Linked DNA regions of Lepisosteus oculatus. The protein of the gene in region 1 interacts with the protein of each later gene in a biochemical or structural test. Links are inferred from orthologs where the notes say so. Each region holds a gene or a part of one and is shown in the gene's direction. Other genes may lie near its edges.

Region 1 (7,984 bases):
ACACGATCGAAAATATTTTGCTGTTGCAAGTTCTGATTGCTTCACTTCGCCTCGAGGAGACACATCTGCAACTGTTCCAGAGTGTCAGTCTTCAGTGTCGCTGAAACAAGTGGTAATGCATGCAGGAGAGCCGTGCTGAAATTGAAAAGGCACACACACTGTTGAAATCGATCTAAGGGCCCCCTTTTCTTTCAGCACAGTCCCAGGTTGGGAGGCACACACACTGCAGCGTTTCGGTGAAATCTCCGCATTGTAGTCCACACTATGATTTACATCTGGACAGACCAGAGGGTTTTAGGGATGAGCATTTGTGTCGTGACTGTGCAGAGCACACCATGATTTCAGCTCCCGAATATCCTTCCTGTGGAGCCCGTTAACAACCAGATCCGTTGGCTACAATTATGAAACCTCATCATGATACTTTTATGCCCATTCTTATTTGAATGACATCCATGTGCTGAGTGTTATTTGTAAACAGGAAGTCCATACTCTGAAAACAAAAAGAATACCTCTATAACATTATATTATTAAAAAAATAGGGCCTGGGTATTTAATATTTCTACTGCTCTGTGACTTCTGAAGTGCCTTTCCCAGTTGAATACCTGTAGGTCAGGTGCGCTGGGCTGCAGGTTCACCTCCTAGACGTCTGCTCCTCTCTCCAGTGCTACTTCACGGCCCCTCGACACCTGGGACCACCAGCACTTTCACAGACACGGGGGCTCTGTCCGGGACCTCCTGGGGTCAGGGAGAGGGGAAGAGGCCCTGGAGCTGCTGCTGGACGAGCTGTGAAGGTGTGAGTGGGCTGAAACCCATGCCTGCTTCTGTACCCCTCTGATCTGATGATCTCGGTTCAGCTATTTCCTCAGCGCAACCGGGGTATCGGCTTCAACAGGGCCAGGCAGCTCGACTCCTGCTCTCAGATTTAAATGCACTTCCACATCGTTTCCACTGGTGCCCTCTGAAAAGAAGCTGGGGACTTCTGGCCACCCATGAGGGCCGAACCTGCAATCTTGGCTTTATTAGTGCCACACCCTAACCAGCTGAGCTCACTGGACACCTAGGAAGTTGGAGGCACTCAGGCCCGTCCTGTTGCTATATACAGTAACGACAACCACATCCAAGGCCACAGTTCCATAGGCTCCCACATTACTGGAATTGAAATATCTGTTTTCAAATGGACTAGAGTTGACAGGAAACGTGTTTCTTTTGCACACACCGTACTTGCAAGCGGTAAAGGGAAATACTGGAACTGGCCTGATCTGACGGCGTGCTCTCGACTGCTGCGGGGAAGGGAGGCAGTGGGTTTCGCAGTGCAAACGCAGGTACAGTACCACGCCTTCCCCTTCCTTCCTCGCGCCCGGGAACCAGAGCCCCATGACGTCTCCCACACACTGTAACAGCGCCTTCTGCTGTCACCCTCCTTCCCCCACTACAAATGAGCCTGCAGTGAAATTAATGTTCTGGATCCACACTGCTAACTGCAGGTACACCCTTGCTTTTCTCTGTTCTAATGCCCTTGATCTTTCATTACACTGCAGGTCCACCTCCTGCACCTGAGGAAACATGTTGCACTGAAGAGCAAGATGGAGAAGAGAGCTCCCCTGTTCACTCCACTTTAATAACACATCCCTTTCTCCTGGCTGTGAAAGGGATCCGGATATAGATCCCACTCCTCACTGAGACAGATTTGGAAGCTGATTTTTTACCAGCCTGCTTCTTGATAGGTAAGCAATAAACACTTAGGAGAGGAATAGTTCGATATCAATGAAACATGAATGAATCAATAAGTAGGATGAGAGAGATTTTCAAACAACACCTTTGCTCTCAGTCTACAAAATGTTGGCTTTGTAAATGTTTGCACTTCCTTTGTAAGATATTTTTTTTGCCTTCAGCTGTGCGGCAATGTTAAATTTTGTACCAGTACTACATGCTATCAGTAAAATGCAAAATAAACCAAAACGGAGCACTAAGATCATCTGCAATGATATAATTTTTCAAATATCAATAGGCCTAGGGGGAGCCCTTTTCCGGAAAACTGGGAGGGCCCATGAGGAATTGCAAGTCCTCTCTGAAGATGCCACCTCTCAGCTCAGCCATGGTGACTGGAAACTCCAGGCACCCTGCCACTGAAATTGAACGCGGAGCTCTGCCATCTCTGTGTCGACGTGACTTCTGTAACTCAACACGTGCTCCAGCAGTATCTGTGTGTGTGTCTCTGTGAGTCAGTGTATCTGTGAGTGAGTGTGTGTCTGTATGAGTGTATTTGCGACTGAGTGTGTGTGTGTAGCTGTGAGTGAGTGTGCTTCAAACACTCGATTGAGGGGGAAGAGGGCAAAAAGTAAACACTCTGCTATTGATCACTTTCAGAGCCAAGTAGTAATCAGGCTGGAGCTATTAGCCCTGTTTCTGCAGCCTCGCCACCTGTGGAAAAAGAGACCCAATTGATTTGCAGTGAATTAATTGAGAACTTATTTAGAGGATTAATGTGACTTGGCAGACAGCTGCAATTACACTTATCCTGGGTGCAATTATAGTACCAGGACGTACGACCTGTTTACAAAGTGGCTCTGTAGCTCCTGAAGTGCATTACGTGGTGGGGCTGCTGCCAGTGAGTACGCACTAGCTTCTACAGGAGCGAACTCAAGTGGCATGAAGATACTGTAAAGACGGTGCTGTGCTCATGCCCTGTGTGCGACAGCACACTTCACTCACCTGGTTATCAGTTTTTCCATTTCAATATCTGTGTTCACAACTGCTTTTTAACTGGAACTTGAATAGAACCTCAGACTTCAGTGTGTGGAACAACATGCATTCCTAAGATGCTAGGACAGCCTCCATAAGAGTTTACAGAGGACATCGAATATTACATATTCCCCTGAACAGCCCATGAATGGAGTCTCCAGTATGATTTTAGTAACCCTCTTCTTATTTCGAAGCAAGTTACAAGTTACACCAAAAAGGTGAGCAAGGCAGCCGAAACGTTGTGTTTCTTTTCAGCATGGAATAAACCTTTACTTGTACATTTGCAGTTGCTGGTTTGCCATGTTCAGTTGGTTACCAATGAGAACGGTAACTAACGGGAGGAGGCCGTCCAGCCCTTGTTAGTAGCTACTGTAACTGTTCTGACCTCATCCAGCCGTCTCTTGAAGGGAGCCTGGATACTGGCTTCAACTTCATGGCTGCTTGTTCCATGCTCCCACAACCCTTCTTGTAAAACAATGTTAATCTTGTTCTTACTTTTATTCCATGTAGTTTCCACTGGTGTCCTCAAATTGATTCTGATAGGCCATAGGATTCAACTGCGTCACTGACTTTGAGAATTTTGAATGACTTAAATCTGGTTTCCTCGTAGTCTTCTTCCCTCAAGACTAAAGAAGCTCGGTCCTTTCAGCAACGTTTCTTTAAACTCACAGTGTAGCTGGTTGCTCTTGTTCAGACTGATTACAAAGATGGAATATCTTTCTCCTCTCCTGATGGTTAAAACTACACAAAAAAACAGGCATTTTATTCTTTGACCCAATTTGTGATTCTGTTAAAAACAACCGTATAAAACTGTAGAACAATATGACCGACCTGAGGTGACCGTGTAGCAAGGCATTAATAATGGATAACGGATTTTAGGCCATAGAGTACCACAAGATAATGAACCGTCTGTGACCTACAGTAGTGTTTGCAGAAATCCCTCTCTGGTAGAAGAAATGCGGACACTAAAATCTTCAGGCAGTACAGATGGAAGTCGGACTTTTCAGCTGGCCGGTCTCTTCATGACGCAAAGCACAGGAATGCATGGAAAACAGACAGACTGTAGCGGGGCAAAGGAAAATCTCTGCACGCTAGAAATATGCTCCATTCCGAGAAGTGCCCTGGTTAAAATAAAGCACACAGGACAACTTTCCGAGCTTTGTGCCTCGGTGCACAATTTATTTCCAATTTTCCTACCGTTAAATGGATTTTGGGGGGGGAATTTCCACCCCTTCCTCCCTCAAAACTCGCAAAAACTTTTTCCCCCCTCTAAGGAAAAAGCCTCGTTGAAAGACTACTAACTGTAGCCAGTCGCAGAAGCAGCGTGTCAGACTGAGCCCTGACTCCAGCAACAGCAAAAACACTACAAACACTTGATAATCCTGTCTGCTGAGCACATGCAGGCACACGAGCCACAACTGAAACTTCTCATTAAAAACTGATTCCGCCAAAGAGGACACCTTCACTCCCGGAAAGAGAGCAACAGCGGCGCTTTTCCGTGCTCGCTTCGAAATAAACCGGGAATCGGACTACAGCCGTGGTTGTTCTGATCGGAAATATTTCCCCCAGTATGTTTTTAAATGCAGGGGGCGTGCAGACCGAATTCAGGGTGTACAGGAAACAACACAGTTCTGCAACACGGCAACCTCTTTGTAAACAAATACAACGGGCCAGAGCCCGACAAGCGAACAAGTCACAGCGACTCTCTTGGACGCAGCAGCGCGCTGCGACGCCACCTGGCGGTCGAACCGGCTCTTTGCAGTGTTTCTGCCAGGGCTGGAAACAGAACAAATTCAATACCCGCACAAAATAACTCGAAACCAACCACAAATTCAGGTCACGACAAGAGCTTTTTTTTTTGGCTAATAAAATACCACCCATGCATGTGAGTTATTTCTCTAAAAATGTCATATCCAGCCCAAAAGTAAGCTTTGTAAATGATCGCTTTTCATTAAATATATAACGATGTAAAACCGCACAGAATATTTTTAGACATGATAGGAAACTGCGCAGCGGTTTTATTTCGGATAGCAAATGCAAGCTGCTTCGTTATAAGAACTCTTCTGCCACCTACTGATTTAAAAGTGTTTTTTTTATTATCTCGGCTTGGCAGGATCTGAAACTAGTAAAAAAACAAGATAATGTATTACTACACATTGCTCGTATATATTGCAGAACATCCGGCCCAGCGCTGTGTGAAAACTGAAAACTTTCTACTTGTCTCTCAGATTTGGTAAAGGAATAGGATGCATTTGTGTTTTTTGTTAAAATGTCGAGTTCATTCCGTCAAATAAAACTTTTTTGATCAAGAGATTCTTTAAATTGAGTGAAAGAGGAACATGATTTCGTGTCAAGGTGAATATTTTATTTTTGCTTACCCACATAGTAAATGCATGCAAGAAAAGAATCTAAAATGTCAACAGATGGCGCTGCAAATGCGACAAAGTGATTTCTGGACCCAACTTTTCGGCGACCATACGATAGGACTGTTCTGTAACCTCAAACAGCTCGTGTAAAATCGGCAGGAGCAGTCCCTTGAGCCCACGGATCTCTAGGATAAAGCAAGCGATCGTTTGTTTAGAGTGCACGCCTTTTGTTTTTTTGTTTTTCCCCCCTTCCGAAACGACAAAAGTTTTCCGCAACACAGAAAACCACGGCGCGCGACCAATCCCTGCCCCGCAGCCCTCGTGCCTGCCCACACGCACGCGCCGCGCTGCCCCGGGGGGGCCCGTGGGCCGGAGCCCCCACTCCGACACCCTCGTGAAGTGGTTCTGCTCCGTGACGCGAGGAGGTGAGCGGCTGGAGCCCCGAGCTGTCCTGCGTGTGGTGCCCCTGCCCGGCCAGTGCGCTGGGAGCTCTCATGCTGCAGCAGTACTCCACTCAGACGTAGGTGGCGGGGGATCACAGTACAGCACGTCCCCTGCTCGGCCGGCCGTGTGGGTCGCCCAGAGTTGGATCGGTGGCTGGCAGCGGTGAACGACAGAAGCGCGGTGGGCGTGCGTGGTAAGGGGTATCTGCGGTAACTTCAAATAAGATCACTTCTGCTGTTCTGACGTGCCTTTAGGGTCCCGATTGCAGTTTGCGCTCAGCCGTACAGTGCTGTCGTGTGAGTGTCGAGAGAAGAGAACCCCTTTTTGAATTCTACAACGTTTTGTTTTATGTACCCTGATAAACGAGGTTACGAGTTATGCATTTCGCAAGCCGAGCTGTGCATGGAAACGTGGTGCGCCGTGGGCTTCCTGCAGTCTGCTGTGTGTCGTGTCGCAGGTGGTTAAACTGCTTGTTAAACTGCACCCAGATCCGGCGTCTGTCGCTCACTGTTGACCGTCCAGTGTTGCTTTTTGGCCGGTCAGGTGCGGCACATCATAACATTAAGGAAACAGCAGTGCAAAAGCGTGAGGGGTTGTAGCAGAAATGTTTTCTCCCTGTCGTGTTATCTACAGGATAGTCTTCTTCAGCGATATAAGCTCCGGCATTCGCGATACTGCGTGCGGTCTCTGGCAGTTTCCTTTTCTTCTGCGCTGCAGGGCTCCTTCTCTCGGATCGTTGTAAGTCTTGAGCTCTTCGAGTGGGTCACTGGGCGAGTCCTGTCCCACGCACAGCCCGACGCACAGATATCTCGTGGGGAAGGTAGCGCGACTGAAGTCTCCAGCACCTGAGCTTCACGCAGCGAGACGGGTCCCTGCAAGCACCTCAGCTGTTCGAAATGCAGGACTGAAACAGACACTGGCCTGCGCAGCTGAGCTCGTCCTGTCCCGCTGGCTACTTCAGGAGGTCTGCAGCAGCGCACTGTACAGTTCGTGATGGGGGAATGGGCCTCACACATTGCAGTTCAGATACAAAGTCAAGGCAGCAGTGGAGAGGAGGGTCTAGTCCGATTTCTAGTGAGCCGCTCACTGACCCGAGTGTTGGCGGGCACCAGGGTGCTGGGCCCTGCAGCCCACTGGCGTACGCAGGGCTCTCCTGCTCTTGGTTTCGGGTGCACGCCCAGCTGGTGTCCTCTTGTCCTCCGGTTTGTGTGCTGTGGTTAATTCGGAAGGTGTTTGCTGGGTGGGCTTTGTCGTCGCTGGAGCAGGGTTTCCCTTTCCAAGCTTGCTCGCTCTGGGGAGACTAGTTTCACACTGCAGGCAGGCCACTGGCTTCCTGAACAGCACCTTGCTCAAGGGTCCTGCAGCTCAGCTCCATCACGTTTGAACCCACAACCCTCCAGTTACGAGTCCAGAGCCCCAACCACGTCTTCACACTGCTGCCTGTGCTCCAGAATGCAAAGGCATTCCACACGATCAAGAAAGCTGCGCAGAAGGTTGTCTTGTCATCCTGCTTCCTTCTTTCCAGCGTGTAATTAACCTCTACTTTTCAACTACATGGTCCCAATTCTTATCCTTCCATATACTGTATATGTACAGTATGTGGTCTCCAGTGGGGACAAGTCGACGCCGAGCAGTAAGATCGCTCCGGATGTCGTGATGAAGCCCACGCTGAGTCAGTCTGTGATCTGATTGCAGAAGTATTGATGACCGCACTTGCACTCTGTTGACATTGGCTGTGGAAATTGTTCCATTTTAGACTTTAAAAAACATGTGTTGTTGGCACAGCTAGTCGAGCAGTAGCTTTGAGCTTGTGTGCCCTGTCCAGCCTGTAACTGGTTACACCCGAAGAAGGTTCCACGGCCGAAACGCTGTGTTTTCTCTCTTCTCTCTTCAGCAGGGAATAAACCTTTACTTGTTCCTTTGCAGCCCCACCTGAACTACTTCAGCCTGTAACAGACCTTCCACTGACCTTCCGAAGTGTTTTCCTCTGACTGGAGCTTAAGCACTGCGTGGTGTCTGTAGAAGGGCTCTGATGTGGTGATAATGAGGGAAAGTCCTAATGTCCGTTTACACATCAGGACTTTGGCAGCGGTAGTGGAATGGTGTTAAAACAGCCAGTCCACGAAGCCTCCTGATGGTGGTCGTATACTGCAGCTTGCCTACTGGGCCAGACACACACAAGTGTGCTATTGATAAGAAATACTGTACACTTTAGGCCTTGAAAATTCCCATTCATTTCATTAACAAGGTACTGGCCCCTGAGCTTCAGAGCTCATGACTGGGAATACTGGGATACCCTGTGGCCTGGACACTAGGAAATGGTCCAGACTGGAGCTCAGTAATAAAACCTCCGACACATGACGGCTGTTCCTTCCTCTTCATATCTCACGGACATGGGTTTCAAATTGAGAACGGGGGGGGAACGTCTTTAC
Region 2 (7,440 bases), on another chromosome or scaffold:
TAAAAGATTTTAAATGGTCTTGCTGCACACCATTTGCTGAGCAATACACCAATCTGTAAAGCTCTGGGTATGAGATGATATCTTCTTGAGGAAATGGGTCTCTTTTTCAAAGTATCCAAAAGTGAAGACAACACAACAGAGGTGATTATTTCTGTGATGGGTAATGCAATTTATAGTATGGTGCAAGGCTGTTTTCAAAGATCTGTGAAAGTGGCCATGAGAGATCCTTTCAATTTGGGGGTGTTTCCAAAACACTGAAGATATTTGTAAGCATCAATGCTAAGGCCTCAGTTCGTACATTTGTCCTTACAGCATGTTACAGTGCTGTTGCAGACATTCTCCTGGATCACATTAGAGCCCAAAACAATTTGCAACAACAAAAAAACATGCTTTGCCTCATGACAGGTTAACTGGTCGTCTTTTCTGTCAGAGTGTGCAGAGTGAGTTGCATGGGGCAGTGGTGGCCCACCCATGCTGATGGTCCAGACTGGGCCAGTCCTCTCTTTTTCCTTTCCTCTTTTTCTGCAGCTGTGAGTGTCCTTGACATTAAGCTGAAAAACTGACAACTACCTGACATTGAGCAGGATCAGTCTCACTGGCACAGTTGTGCTAGTTACTTCTGAATGCACATCACACGCATCCCAAAAGTGCTTGCTCACAGAATATTCCCAAACCATATGTGGACTGGTGCTAGTAACACACTGACTGCATCTGTGTTCGGACAGGGAGAAATCTTAATCTGGAATCACTGGGATAGTGCTGTAAATATTCTGTGCACAAAATGGATTAGCTGATGATTTATCCCAGTCAGAACTATCATCCAGTTTGTCTTATTCTCTGTCCCAAATAAGAGTACTTTGCAGGGCACTGATATAAGTGGTGAGAAGTCCTATAGAGACTAGACCCTTGAAGCGGCTGTAAAAACAGTTACATCAATCACTAAATCAGAGGGCAAAGCTCTATTTTTGAAGTGCAGATTGTGATTTACGGCATAATAACAAAAAGACAATGGTTTGATATTGCTGCACCTAAAAATATCCACAGAGCAAGTAAGATTCCCTTTGAGTCTAAAGAATGTACAAGCTATTGTACAAAAAATATCAATATTTTGTACACCAAACACAATAAGAAAAAGGGTGTGAACCAGTCATTTAGGGTAGATGGTTGCAAATTGGTAAGAGTTGATAATGTTTTGGGGGGAGTGTTGAGAACACAGCTCTTTATTCTTAGTATCTAGTAAGTTTAGAATAATTTGGCCCTTTCAGAAGTCGTCAATTCTCCTGTTAGAATAAAAAAATAAGAAATAAGAAAATAGCATCTAATGTGTTTAAATAATGCCTCCTCATTTGGGCAGCATGAGACTGACACACAGGAATTAATATCCTATGATGAAAAAACAAATAAAAAATGTTTAAGAATATGTACAGCCAGGCCATTGAAAGCTTTGTGTTACTTGTTGAACCACTGATCGCTGATCAGCTGAACAACTGCAGCCTAGTACAGGAGAATGAGTATGATGTATCTCTTCCAACATGCCCACTGTTAAGACTGCTTGCAATCTGAGCTATTGCAAACTCAACAGTACATTACAGCACCGTTCACACTGTCTGAATAAGCCACACTTCTCCTACTGATGACTCTGCAATTTCACAGTCACCCACTGTGCCACAGGGTTTCATATTGTGTGCAAGCCTGCAATACTACTAAGAATACTCCAACCAGTTCAAGACCTCATAAACCCTGGCAGGAACTTTGCCCTGAATCCTGATCACTAATCCTGGTGAACTAATGAAATAGCTCAGGGCCTAACTGGCTCTAAGTGTAATCTGTACTGCATTTTAAGAAAGATTGTCAGTACCTGACTTTTTTTGATTGCCAAAATGTCCCATACTGGGGAGACAGTTTATTAGATCAAGAGAAATGATGGTAAAACATGATGTACTGTATGTGTTGTAAAAGCAAATTGATTTTTTTATAGTCTCTCAATTATACAGAGTGAAAATTTGATATCTGACAGAAGAGATTGTCTATCCAAATATATTGAAAAGATCTATCTACTGTAAATGATCTTTCACACACTATTCTTTGCCACCTTTGGCTTCCATCTGTAAAATCACATACTGTACCTGCCAACATGCGCCATGTGATCATGTTAATCAAATAGAGTGTTTGCTTTAGCCTACCGCTGGTTACTCTTCATAATGGGAATGAGTGCTAAATGTAACTGTTTTATCTGTTCAGCTCAACAGAGCACTTGGAACCACATCAGATCATTAATGCTTACCATCCACTTTAACAGAAAATACTTTGTGAAAAATTATCAATGAGTATAATTTATTTTTAATTTCCCTAAAAATGTACAAGATCCTTTCATGACGTCATGATGCAAAGCAAAAGATGCATACTATTCTATAGCAGTAACTTGTGTACAGTAGGTTAATAATTTCATAATGCAGTTACAGTATTGTCATTGGATTGATATAGAAATAAATGTACTTTAATATGTACTGTAAATGCTACATAATTACAAAGTATTAAAGTGTACTCTATATACAGTACAGTACACTGTAATTAATGTACCTGTATTTTGAAGTGAATCTGTGTCTAATGTTCTGTTTTCTGTATGCCTTGGAAGAAGGACAGTGCTGTATAAAATATTACAGAATGAAAAGGATTTTGTTTCAGTTTATGAAAAAATGAAGCGGTTCCATACTGATATACATAAAAAGGAGGTATATCTCCCATTGGGCTGATTGGAGCTTGTTCTTCTTTTGAAGAAATCAGTGTTTGTTTTAATCTATCAAAGTTGGGAATATCCTTAGGGTTTGTTGAATAAGGGAATGGAACTGTACTGAAGGACCCTCCTGCTTAAGCTTCCATGATAGCTTTTACATGTCTATTTATTTGCTCCAAATCCCTCTAGAATTACTCAGAGGATTTTATGCATCTAACTCAGACACTCGTACTTTAATACATTTAGGATGTCCAGTGTAGCCTGTTTCTTGTTCTTGCAATTTGGTCAGTTCTTTTTTTTCTTTTACAATTGCTACAATAAAATAAAAATGCATTAGGAAAAAATTGCAGTATTCTATTATTTATATAGTGAATGAAATGAACATGCTGGTGCCTGCTTTTGTATTCTGAAAGAGCACTTGGACTCACATTAATGAGGAACCTTCAAAGCAATGAAAAGCTCTGTAACACACTGAAGACAGAAGTCAAAGTGACTTATCTAATCAGTGCTGGTCAGACTAATCTTTGACCAAATCCACACTTGATAATTATTAAAGCTCTCTCGTTGGATGGAAATAATATTCACATGGCGTAGGAGTTTTATTCTTTCCCAGTCTTACAAACAGCAGGCTCTAGGAGGAAGTGTCTACATCTCCGGTTTAAAATTCTAAGACCTGATAAATTTGGATTAACTCATAGTAAGTTAGCAATCATGACATATACACTGCCATGTGTTAGCTGGTATACTGGTGCCTGTTGTAAAACCTGAAATGGTTCAAACTGCTGCTGTACAGTATTCACCTAGGAGAAAGAAAAAAGAATGATTTACATCGTAGTGACAACAAAGCAAACAAAAAAGAATACAATGGCTTCGTAATGAAAGTCAACCCCCTATTTATTAACAGGAAGACTTAATTTTCTTTCTGTTATTTGATTATATACATTTTATTATAGTTATTCGCTAATCAATGTCAGAAAGAAGATAAAACTGAAGAAACTATACTGTAGTTCACTGGATCTCTACCTGTTGTAACAGGGCTTTTGAGTGAGGAGGAGAGTATATGATTATTATTTTCTCATCTTCGAATAGAAGCAAGATGCTGCCAATAAATAAGATCTCAAAGGATACACAGTACTGTGCGACTAATTGGTAGATATTCCTCACAGATGTTGAAGAAAGGACATCTGTGGACACAACACGTTAAAGGTGTATGTTCCAGTCTAGCTTGTTTTCCATGAAATAATAAATCAAGCTCTTTCAACACAGGGTCCATTTTTTTTCATGTGTATGTTTGTCCATGTTTTATTATTGATATTCCCCTCTTCCCTTGGGAAATCTTGCCATGGCAGTGTCCCTTCCTGGGCTCTAATGAAACCTCAGTGCATTTGTGTAACTGAAGGAGTGGCTGAGGTTGCTAGGATGTGCCCCTCCCTCACATCCCAGAGGAAAAGTGCTTATTTGATGTCCTTGATTGTCATTCGCAGGGGCCCTTGCTACCGGGCGTATGGGATGCTAATGCAAGATGAAAGGGTCATCCTAGTTTACTGCTGCCAGATTAGATATTCCAGGCAGCTCCCCTGCTCTCAGCCAATCACAGGCAAGGACTCCGTGATGCAGGCCCTCTCTCACTGGAGGGATTCCGAAGAAACTGCAGCGTGATGATGCTCTGTTAAACAGTCTAGTGTCTCTCCCTCTCTTTCTCCCCCTCTCTCCCTTCCCAGTGCTAGATAAATCCAGTGTCTTTTTTTTTTCAAATAGGGGATAACACAGCGCCGAATGTAAAGGCTCCCTGAAGGCTGGCCAGAACATACAGGCAGCAGCAAGACTTTCTTTGGCAAGACATCACCTTTTATTCCATGTTTCCAGATTGCATCTTACCTTAAAAGGCAACCATCTAGAGCCCAATTTGCACCACAAAGACAGCAATTCCAGGTAAGATCCTGTTCTCTTTCTCAGCCTTTGGTGCCATGGAAGTCATGTTTTCTGTTACTGAAGTACAGGAAGTCTACTTAACTGTGTGCTCATATTTGTCATCCTTTATGACCCAGTGCCTTCACTGAATTGTTTGTGGTTTTGCTTCATTATTTTTTGGAGGGGAGTGTGTGGGTGGGTAGGAGATTTCGTTGTACTATACTATTGTAGTTATTGGCTGGGACTACCCCTTCACGAGAGTCATGTTTAGGCTGTGCTCTTGTTTATTCAAATAAAGCACTGAGTGCGTGGGAAGACACAGTCGACCTGGAGCACCACACAACTGCTTTCAGATTGCAGCCAGGGAAACTAATCCTTTGGTCCATACCATCAGATAAAGTGGGAAGGTTGTTTTAACAGCTTTCAGATATGATGGACTTATCTTTTACTCAACTTGCTTAGGCTAGAAAAATATTGATTTTCAAATTAACACCTTTGTAAACTGAAATAAACCCACCTTACCAGTTTGTCCTCTTTCTTGCCTCTTTCCACAATTGGAAATGTATCATATTAATCCACACTGTTGTTATGAAACTGAAATAATACATTGTTGCTGGGGTACTGTAGATTATGGAGCTGTTCCTTTGACAGTCTAATACCAAATTTCATTTGGATATGTGTGTGATTACAAAATGTAACGCTAGTGATATTTGTATATGCTTTTGTTCATGTATTCCTGAACTGCAGTATTTGTAGTGTGGGGTTCTCCTCTGTTAGTCTTTACAAGATAATTCAATTGCCAGGTTTTTACATATTAAAACTAAAATAGTAAAAACTTTTTCATGATCTGCAAATATTAACACAGTAAGTCCTAAAATGCCTTATTTCAGTTTACATCTTTAAGTTTGGGTTTGCCATTTCCCTATGTTACTGCACGTTGATAAACGATAAAATAGTAAGGAAATGGTGTCTTTGTTTTCTGTTGTATATTACTTCAATTCATAGGTGGCATGATAGCGGTTGCTATGAACATTTGCCGACATTGCAAGTAACTGCACAGCTGCCTTACATAATACAGTAACAGTACTTACATAACAGATCCTGGATGTGTCTAAACTATACAATTGAAACATGTTTCCTAAATAAGAAAATAAACAGTATCAAGGATATTTTATGTGTTTAAATAAAGTCATGAAATTGACAATCAGTTTATGGAGATTTTTAACATGCCAAACATACCAGGAAAACTCTTGGGCTCTAAGCCTACATGCTTTTAATATGGTTATTGGGCAGCATGCTAATGACAGTTTTTGCAATCTGTAATTCAATCAGCTCTGATACACACTGCCTTCTACCATCATTCATCAGACCCAGCTGAGTGATTTCTGTCAGATTGCAGGCTGTATAGAGATCTCTCCAGGTAAATGTTGCTGGCAGGCTGTTCAAATGCGGTCTTGAATGAGCAGTAGACAAAAAAGTGCCTGGCCACAATGTACTGACAGATGTTAGTTCCCAAATAAATCATTTCCTTCAATTGTCAAGGGGGATGTCATGTTTTTATCCCTTACTGAATGCCCATTAATGAGTAGAAAGAAAACTGATTCTCTGCCGTATGTACTTGTAAGCATACTCCATGTTCAGGATTTTGTATTATACTTTTAAAAGTCTGAGGTTAGAAGAAGCACAATGGAAAAAATGCCACTGGTATTGCACAAGTCCTTTGACATTAACCACTCATTTGGAGTACAGCTGATGGGAAATAAACAGTACTGCTGTTAAAGGTAATTAGAAATACAAAACTAAAAAACAGTAACAGTACTCTTACTGTAGTTCAACCTTGTGATGCTTTGGTGCCAGAGATTTAGCATCCGGAAATGTGCGGCAATAACACTTATAGTACCTGTGTGATAGATAAAAGGGATTTATATTCTTATCAATTTAATATGAAAAATCTTCCTTACTTTTACATGAGTTGGTCATGTAAAAATGGGTTCTGGAGGGGAATTGTAAATAATGTAAAAATGTTAACTTGTCATTTAGAAGGCAAAATGCGCTTATCAAGAAAGGACCAAAAGTGTAACAGGAAATGACCTTGACATGACTGTCCATGTAATGGACCACAAAAAGAAACCCTTCATTGCAGTCAATCTAAGGTGTACAGGTCGTTACTCTGTTATTATTACTTATTTACTTCATTGTGTGTGTACTGTATATTTTTCCTAACATCTGCGTAATTAGATTTGTTGCTCTGGTCCTCGAGGTCACAAAGTCACATCTTATGATGCATTTTCTCTCTTGTTCAAGAGTGTGTTTTTGCTCTAGAATGACAGCTGCATGTTTACATTCATACATATTATAAAAATAGCAATTTTTTAGAAAACATCCAAATCAGCTTAAAATGCTCTGAAAAGTTAATAAAATAAGTTATTGTATTGAAATCGACAATAATTTTTCTATATTATTAAATATTTATAGATAAGACCATGAATCTGCCTCTTCAGTGTACATTTTAACAATATTTATAGGGATTTCCTCTAAACTCCATTTAATTTTTAACATCAGTCGTCATTGTAGCGCCAATTATTACATTAAGGTGAGTTCCGTGAAGGAGCTAGCGTCTCTTGCTTGTGTAGACATGCTGCTTACTTAGTCGCACATCATCTTTAAAATTCATTAACTACTGCAAGACCTCATCACTTCTCTCTGCATACATCTAAAACTACACGTTACTCTCTACCTGGAATTAAACTGCATGTAAAAACATTGTCTGTGTCAGAATAAGCTGCCAAAAAAAG

The links. The genes of interacting proteins can lie anywhere in the genome.
Region 2: the proteins of ston2 (region 1) and syt1a form a complex in vitro, tested with the Homo sapiens proteins (2 studies listed by BioGRID). The link is inferred for Lepisosteus oculatus from reciprocal best matches to the Homo sapiens genes STON2 and SYT1.

Annotation. Positions count from the first base shown.
Region 1 is NC_090703.1:2,847,527-2,855,510, reverse strand, and holds the start of ston2 (stonin-2), read left to right. Parts: upstream 1-4,944; 5' UTR 4,945-5,761; intron 5,762-5,782; exon of another isoform or gene 5,783-7,984. UniProt on the Homo sapiens protein: Adapter protein involved in endocytic machinery. Involved in the synaptic vesicle recycling. May facilitate clathrin-coated vesicle uncoating.
Region 2 is NC_090702.1:20,470,370-20,477,809, reverse strand, and holds the start of syt1a (synaptotagmin-1a), read left to right. Parts: upstream 1-4,381; 5' UTR 4,382-4,666; intron 4,667-7,440. UniProt on the Homo sapiens protein: Calcium sensor that participates in triggering neurotransmitter release at the synapse. May have a regulatory role in the membrane interactions during trafficking of synaptic vesicles at the active zone of the synapse.